Linked DNA regions of Arabidopsis thaliana. The protein of the gene in region 1 interacts with the protein of each later gene in a pairwise test. Each region holds a gene or a part of one and is shown on either strand. Other genes may lie near its edges. The genes, in order: AT4G00780 and AT1G67860.

Evidence for each region.
Region 2: the proteins of AT4G00780 (region 1) and AT1G67860 interact in a two-hybrid assay, tested with the Arabidopsis thaliana proteins (one large-scale study listed by BioGRID).

Annotation. Positions count from the first base shown.
Region 1 is NC_003075.7:332,780-337,269, forward strand, and holds AT4G00780 (TRAF-like family protein), read left to right. Parts: upstream 1-1,793; 5' UTR 1,794-1,999; coding exon 2,000-2,024; intron 2,025-2,104; coding exon 2,105-2,234; intron 2,235-2,339; coding exon 2,340-2,485; intron 2,486-2,569; coding exon 2,570-2,852; intron 2,853-2,929; coding exon 2,930-3,096; intron 3,097-3,192; coding exon 3,193-3,341; 3' UTR 3,342-3,699; downstream 3,700-4,490. Other genes in the region: TRM9 (DUF4378 domain protein), read left to right, coding at 1-271; SETH5 (transducin family protein / WD-40 repeat family protein), read right to left, coding at 4,335-4,490.
Region 2 is NC_003070.9:25,444,157-25,447,152, reverse strand, and holds AT1G67860 (uncharacterized protein), read left to right. Parts: upstream 1-1,795; 5' UTR 1,796-1,976; coding exon 1,977-2,213; 3' UTR 2,214-2,401; downstream 2,402-2,996. Other genes in the region: AT1G67865 (uncharacterized protein), read left to right, coding at 466-693.

The DNA.
Region 1 (4,490 bases):
ATGCGAGGCAAAAGGATGGTTGCAGGGAAAGAGAGAATCAGAGCTTGAACGCGGAACAAGTGAGCAGAGGAGACAAGCATGTGCTAGAGAAATCGAAAGACGAGACTGGAATGAGAAACAGATAGAGGAGGAGCACGAAGTGGTGGTTACACAGATTGAGGAAGAACTCTTCAGCCTGTTAATGGACGAAACTTTAACAACGCTCTCTACCAAAACTGATTCCAGTCCACCTGAACATCACAAAACAGTAACATCAATGCTTAAGCTTTAGAAATTAGAAAGCAAAAACATTTTTGAATAAGGCTTTGACTTAAAAGCTCAGGTTTTTTTAGCTCTACTTTTGTAAGAATGAAGCAAACGAATAATACAATGTATATTGACCTCTAAAACCATATATATATATATGCCTAATTCATATTTCTGCAAAAAAAGATCAATTTTTAGAAGCTAAATCCATGAACGAGTTAAAAAGTGACCTCATTCGAAACGAGCAAACAACATAACAGAAAATAAAAAGGTTAAACTTAAGAAAATGTCATTCGCAGGAATAATTAAGCAGCAAGCGTGGATTCGCGATCGCAGCCATTGAAATTAAAATCCCTAAATCAAAGCCTATCTATGGGTCTGCGAAACAATGAAGATGGAATTGAAAAATAAACCGATAGAAGAAACTGGAGAAGAAGAAGAAGAAGTAAATTGAAAAAAAAATGGAAAGAAGAGGGAAATAAGTTGGAGACGTTACCGGTGGTCTCTTTCCAGGTTGGTGAAGAAGCTTCCGATATGTTTCTCATGTTTTTCGCTAGTCACTGAATTTATAGATGACTAATGGACTCATTATATTATCTCACGAAGCCCATTGTGTTTTTTAGAGTCAAGGAGCCCAATTGTTTTTCTTTTTCTTTTGATAAGGGAGGAGTCCATTTGTTTTAGTCTAAGGTGAGGAAATTTGGGTATTCGGGTCGGGTTTGGATCGAGTCTTTCGGGTTCGGTTTAGAAGTTTAAGACTGGTTCGATTATACGTATTATTTAAGCTATAGGTTCTCTTCGGGTATAGGTTGAAGAACCCAATAAATAACCAAAATTATTTTGGGTTTCAATATTATTTACCAAAACCTTGTCCAGATATACCCAAACATATATAAAACTATCCATAAAATTATAACAAGTTTTCCTTTATTACAATAATAAAAAACAAGAAATAAACCTTGTTTTTAACTTGTTCCATAATCCAATCATTAAACAATTCACAAACTCAAGTTATCAGTATATATGTCCTCATATGTATATATATGTTCGGGTAATAAAAAATACTCACGGATATCAATTTCGGTTCATGTAATACCTGATACCTGAAATTATTTGAGAACAGAACCCGGGTATTTTACAAGAAGATATGATAAGACCTCGTTTGCAAATCTCAGTCCATGAACTCGATTTCTTTTTTTCTTAAGGAACAAGTTTAACTATCCAATACTGAATATACATCAATTCGGTACTAAATGTATAGTAGATACGAATTTCCTCCGGAATGACTCAGAGAACAGTGAGAGATTAGTAGATAAGATACTTAACTTTTGGGGAGAGACCTCAGGACCCATATGACTTGAAGACTCACACCAGCTCTGAAGTTAGACGGGTTTTGGGTCTCCGGGTCAAGTTTAAAGAAAAAATGTTAAAGTAGATTTCCCTTTCTACTTTGGTTTGAGATGAGTTTAGAATTTAGTTCGATGTTACGAACGTGAATATATACCCAAAACTTGTGATGTATATAAATGCTTATCAATCTCGAATCTCTCTGTTACTGTAGCGTGTAATCCACGTTTGAAGTTTTTGTTCGATTCGATAAATGTTGGAGCCAAAACAGAGACATCAACAAAAACATGGGATCCCAATGAATAAATAGATAAACTCTTGTCTGTCTATAAATAGACTTACATCTTCAAAAAAGATTTGTATAAGTCTCCTCCACTTAAGAAGATATCATTTGTAGCTTCTTACAATGTCGCGACCAATCCCCATTGAAGGTTAAATAATAAACATAATTTTGTGTCTTATCTCTTTAGTCTTTATACAAGTTCTTATAATAATTTTCTCTTCCTCACAGAAATGGTGAGGCTGTTCAAAATACGTCACACAACATCTCACTTGTTCAAGATAGACAACTTCTCTTTACTCAAAAAGCATGGAATCGAAAAGGTCGAATCCTCTGTTTTCGATCTCGCTGGTCACAAATGGTGTGAAGCTTTTTGATCTTCTTATTGACATACAAAAGAAAACAAAGAAACAGTAGATGATCATTAACCTCAATATATCGTTCTCTTGGCTTGTTATGGTAACAGGAAACTCTCTGTGTACCCAAATGGGCATAAGAATGCTAAGGGGACTCATGTCTCCATGTTCTTAGTGAATCAAGTTCCGGTAAATGATATGCCTACATATGAGCTCCTAGTCGTCAGTCAACTAGAGCGAAAATGGCACACCCATGGTTTCTCTCTTTCTCTTTCTCTCTCACTCTCCTTGAATCATATATATCTGTGTGTTTGATGTTGATGTGTTGTTATATGAGCAGGACGAGATGAGTTTGATATAAATCCAGAACCAGCTAGTGAGGGGTTTTTAAGGTTCATATCTCTTGCTGATCTTGAGAGAAAAGGTTTCCTTATTGGAGATTGTTGTATGTTTGGTGTCAAGTTTCATGGGATTGAACCTGCTAATCCCGGAACAGCAGAGTGTTTTAGCTTAATAGAGAAGCCTCTTAACCACAAAGTCACTTGGATGATGAGCAAGTTCTCGTCCTTCAACCCTGGAAAGGCTCATCAGTCTAATGAATTTGTCGTTGGAACCAGGAAATGGTAAATATATATTGATTCCAACGACTTCTTTAAAAAGACACAACAATATACTAATGAAAATGCATCACAATATATAGGAGACTTGAAGTTCATCCAAGAGGGTATATGGATGAAAAAGACAAATCATTTTCTGTGTATCTATCAGCAGAAGGGTTTGTCAACAATGCACCAATGACAAAAACTTACGCCAAGTTCAAGCTGCGGGTATTGGATCAAGTTAGCTGGAATCATGTTGAGGAATCAGGTATATATATAGGATCCATCTTTATTAGGAGGAATTTGTTTTGGAAATTTAGTCTTGTGATGGTAAAATACTAGTAGTAATCTTTTATTTTTGTAGGTTTGAGCTGGTTTGATGCAGAACCTTCGGACCAAAGTGGCTTTGCGGATTTCATGCCTCTGGGGAAACTAAATGAACCTTATTTGGTAAAGGATAAGCTTTATGTGGGAGTTGAGTTTGAAGTCGTTTCTACCACTTATTACTGTTAGCTTCTAGGCTGTAATAAGTCTTATTGTGAGCTAAAAATAACAAGAAATGTTATAATGTATTGAATAAAATGTTGGAGAATGTACCTACTGAGACTTGGAGGTGGAACTACATTGACCTAGTCTTAGCCAAAGTCAGATTTCTCTTTTTTGTCGTTCGTATAAATAATACAGTTTGCTTCCAAGTTTCACTTTTGTCATCAAAGTCAGACTTGCAATTAGTTTTTAAACAAATCTGTCTTGAGGGTAAAAACTGCAGATGAAAATCAACAAATCCAAGCTATAAAAGTAAGAGGATGAAATTGTCGTCACATGATCTCTTCGATGGATCAAAAAGATAAGAAGAAGAAAAAACAAACAATTCCTTGTCAAGCAAGCATCAGATTAAAGAAAAAAGACCTTTATTCTAATTCCATGTTGGACCTTGAGATCTGATTCACACACTTTATGTTTATCAGGAATCTTATCCCAAATTGATTGAATAATTTATGCTGAGAATACATCAAAGACTAGCTATATAATATAAGATTCTTGACGGCATCAAATCAAAGAATCTTGTCTTGAGGGGACCAACTATATTAGTGAACTTTTTGAACATTGGTTATATAACTAGTTTTATTACTTTTGGTACTATACATCAAGTTAATAAAGTTACTAATTTTCCTAGTTACAAACCATATAATAATCTCGACCAATCTTTTTTCACCTTTCAGAGTACAGAGCACAAGTGGTGGTGCTGACGGAACGCTTAGTAGGTGCTGGCGGATACATTCTGGTTCAGCATTTAGTTAATTATCTAAATAGTAGTCAATATTGTAAACTAAAGCTTTACCATGGGAACTCAAACTGGTTGTTGATGAATAAATAGTAGTATATTTGTGTATATATAGTATATACAACATTAATTGTTGATGGTTCTAAACTCGTTGAGACATCTTTACATTGGAGATGGTCTTAGGGTCCTAATCATAATCCCAATTACCAACTCTTGGCCTATTAAAGAAAAGATTTACCAAATGTTGACCCAAATATCGATCCTTTTGTTTTCGGCTTCTTACCCTGTCCGGTTTTTACAGGTTTTGTGTCTTTACCGCTACTCTCTCCCGGGGTAAAACCCGAGAGCCTGCTCACTTTTTCATGGTACACAGCCGG
Region 2 (2,996 bases), on another chromosome or scaffold:
CAAACTTTGCAAGCATTAGATGCAATTTCCATCATAACGATTGAAGAGACCATTCCACGAAGGAGATGGGCCTTACACTAAACTTATCCACACATCTTTTCTAATGTTCGTTACTAGTATTGCTGTCAAAACATGCCTTTTTGGACTAAACATTAGTTGATACACATACAACATCTATTTTTGAGGGTCTATAGGGTCTGATTTTTTAAAGAAAACGTGTCCGTAGACAGAAACCTCCTTAGTTTGGATCTTTCCCATGTGATCATTATTAAAAACGACGAACGGAATTAGAACAAACATATCTATTCAACTTTCGGTAGTGATGGTACTAAGAGAATAAGATTCAGATCATAAAAAAGGGAACTATATACAAGAAATTTTTTCTATATATAGAAAACATCTGAAAGATTAAAACACTTATCCATATCAAAGAAAACTAACACAAGTAGATAAATATAAAGAAAAATGCTTGATAAGCTTATTATTGGGGTTGCCGGAGGGATTACCGGAGGGATTCTTGGAACGGTCGATGGGTTTGCCAAAGGGGTCGGGATATGGCCCAATAATTATCAGAGCACCGGTCGCTTCGAGAACAACAATATGACGAGTCCGGGAAACTACGGCAATGGTAATGGCGGTGCAGTGAAGGCATCCGAGAACTCCGGCGGCCGCCGCCAGAAAGACAGGGAGTAAAGGACTCCTGACCACACCCAGTAATGATTATGTATCCAAAATAATAAATGTATACGATGTATGTATAAGATGGACATGTTTCAGTATCTTACCAAAAATATAGGAGACTTTTAATGAAAAGTCTTCTTGTTTAATTTTATGAACTTTATGATTAATAAAAGGAGTGTGTTTAATAAAAGTGATGTATATTAACAGTTATTTCCACACGTGAAAAGATTGAATTTATTTGCACACAATTAAGTTTGAAAAGTAACGTTATGGTGTAACGAAAACCCTAATGAATTTATAAGTTACGTAGTGCAGTAGGATATGTCGTTTTAATGTTTCTGGTTCATCTAAATAATTAGATAATTTATTTTGCATTTATCGACCAAAACTTTAAGCTCATAGATTTGATTCAAACAAGTAATTCATTTACTAAATTAGACGGATCATAGGATTTTTTGTTGATTCGATTAGCCTTTTCAGTTATGCAATGTTCTTGAGGGAAACACAAACACAGATAGCATATTTGGCGACAGCGTCTGCCTTTTGAATTGGAAAGACGAGAAATATAACTAAAGGAGATAGAACGGAAACAACCTTGAAGCTGTCGAATTTCTTGAAGAATTCCATGAATGTCATTGATAGAGTTGTCTACACTTTTATCTCAAAAATCAAACGAACCTTACACAAGCAATGTTTTTTTTTTTTCCAATAATCAGAGTCTTCCTAAATCCAAAGTCTAGACTAATTCTTGAACTTAATACTAATAGAAATGTTTTCTTGCAATTTACAGCGTTATGGAGTCTAAGTTGAATAGTTAGATTATTACACTTTTATAAGGCTTTATTTTCTGGCCTAGAACAACGACCTGAATCTTCAACAAGGGGAAACTTTAAGTCCACTTCCACTTGGAGAGTCTTCAAACTTTGCAAGCATTAGATGCAATTTCCATCATAGCGATTGAAGGACCATTTGAGTGACAAGTAAGACGGGTCGTGTATGTCCATAGTTATCTTGTTTTCCACTTTCTTTCCATCTACTTCACGAATTTTTGTGATCGTTGAATTTTTTAAGACGAACGGAATAAGAACAAACATGTCTATTCAATTTTACGTATGGTGGTGGTAAAAAAAAAAGAATAAGATTCTTATCATATCATGGATATCATATGACGAATAATTGCCATAACAAACAAACTTAAGTGAACACTACGAGAATTGTATAAATATATACAAACATCTGAAAGATTGTAAGCTCTTATTCATATCAAAGAAAAACAACAGAATTAATATATAAAAATGCTTGATACGCTTATTGGAGGGATTGTCGGAGGGATTGCCGGAGCGATTATTGGAACGGTGGATGGGTTCGCCAGAGGGATCGGAATATGCCCCGATAGTTACCAGAGCTGCACTCGTACCGACTGCGAGGAGCACAAAAAGAAGCTCCCGACCAACCTTAGCCGTAACGGCGGTGCAGCAGCAGTGAAGGCTAAGGAGAACGGCCGCCGTCGCCGCCAGAAAGACAGGGAGTAGAGGACTCTAGACTACCCAAATATTCTGACGGTTCAAATAAGAAAGTAACGATTATGTACTCCCCATATAATAAATGTGTAAGATGTATCATGTATTTGTGTGACGGACTTTTAATGAAAATAAATGTTCTTGTTTAAGTTTTTTTTTTTTTTTGTCAGCGTTCTTGTTTAAGTTAATAAATCATTTATCATATTACATAAGAAATATATATTAGATCGGTATATAAATTGACTTTAATATATATTTATCGACAAAATTTGAAATGAATATTTAGGAAGTATATTATATCTCATTGAACTATATATATAGAAAGAGAAAACGAAAAGACTATTTACGAAAATGATTGGATTAAGATATGTTGTTTCACGATGAAGACAAGGGAAAAAAACCCTCAAGTTACATGCTTTAATGTTCATTACATGAATCTACTTGTTAAAATAACATAAGTACAAGTGAGTTAAGGAACAAAGAAAACTAATTACGTTAACTAGAAAAGATGGGTTTGTGCGTAGACTTGTATTGGAATTTTCATGTGGATCACAACTATATAGGTTTTCACAACAACTGGTTATTTAGTTGTCTTCCTCTTATATACACTAAATATATTATCTCTCACATTGCTCAATAAAATTAATATATGTTAAAATTCGAAAACATAACACCAAAAAGTATGTAATATCAGTAATTTTTTTAAAAAAATACAAATAACACTAAAATCATGTATTTATTTTTGTTATATATGTGCAGTTTATAAAATTATTATTATATTATTAGAAACTTAGA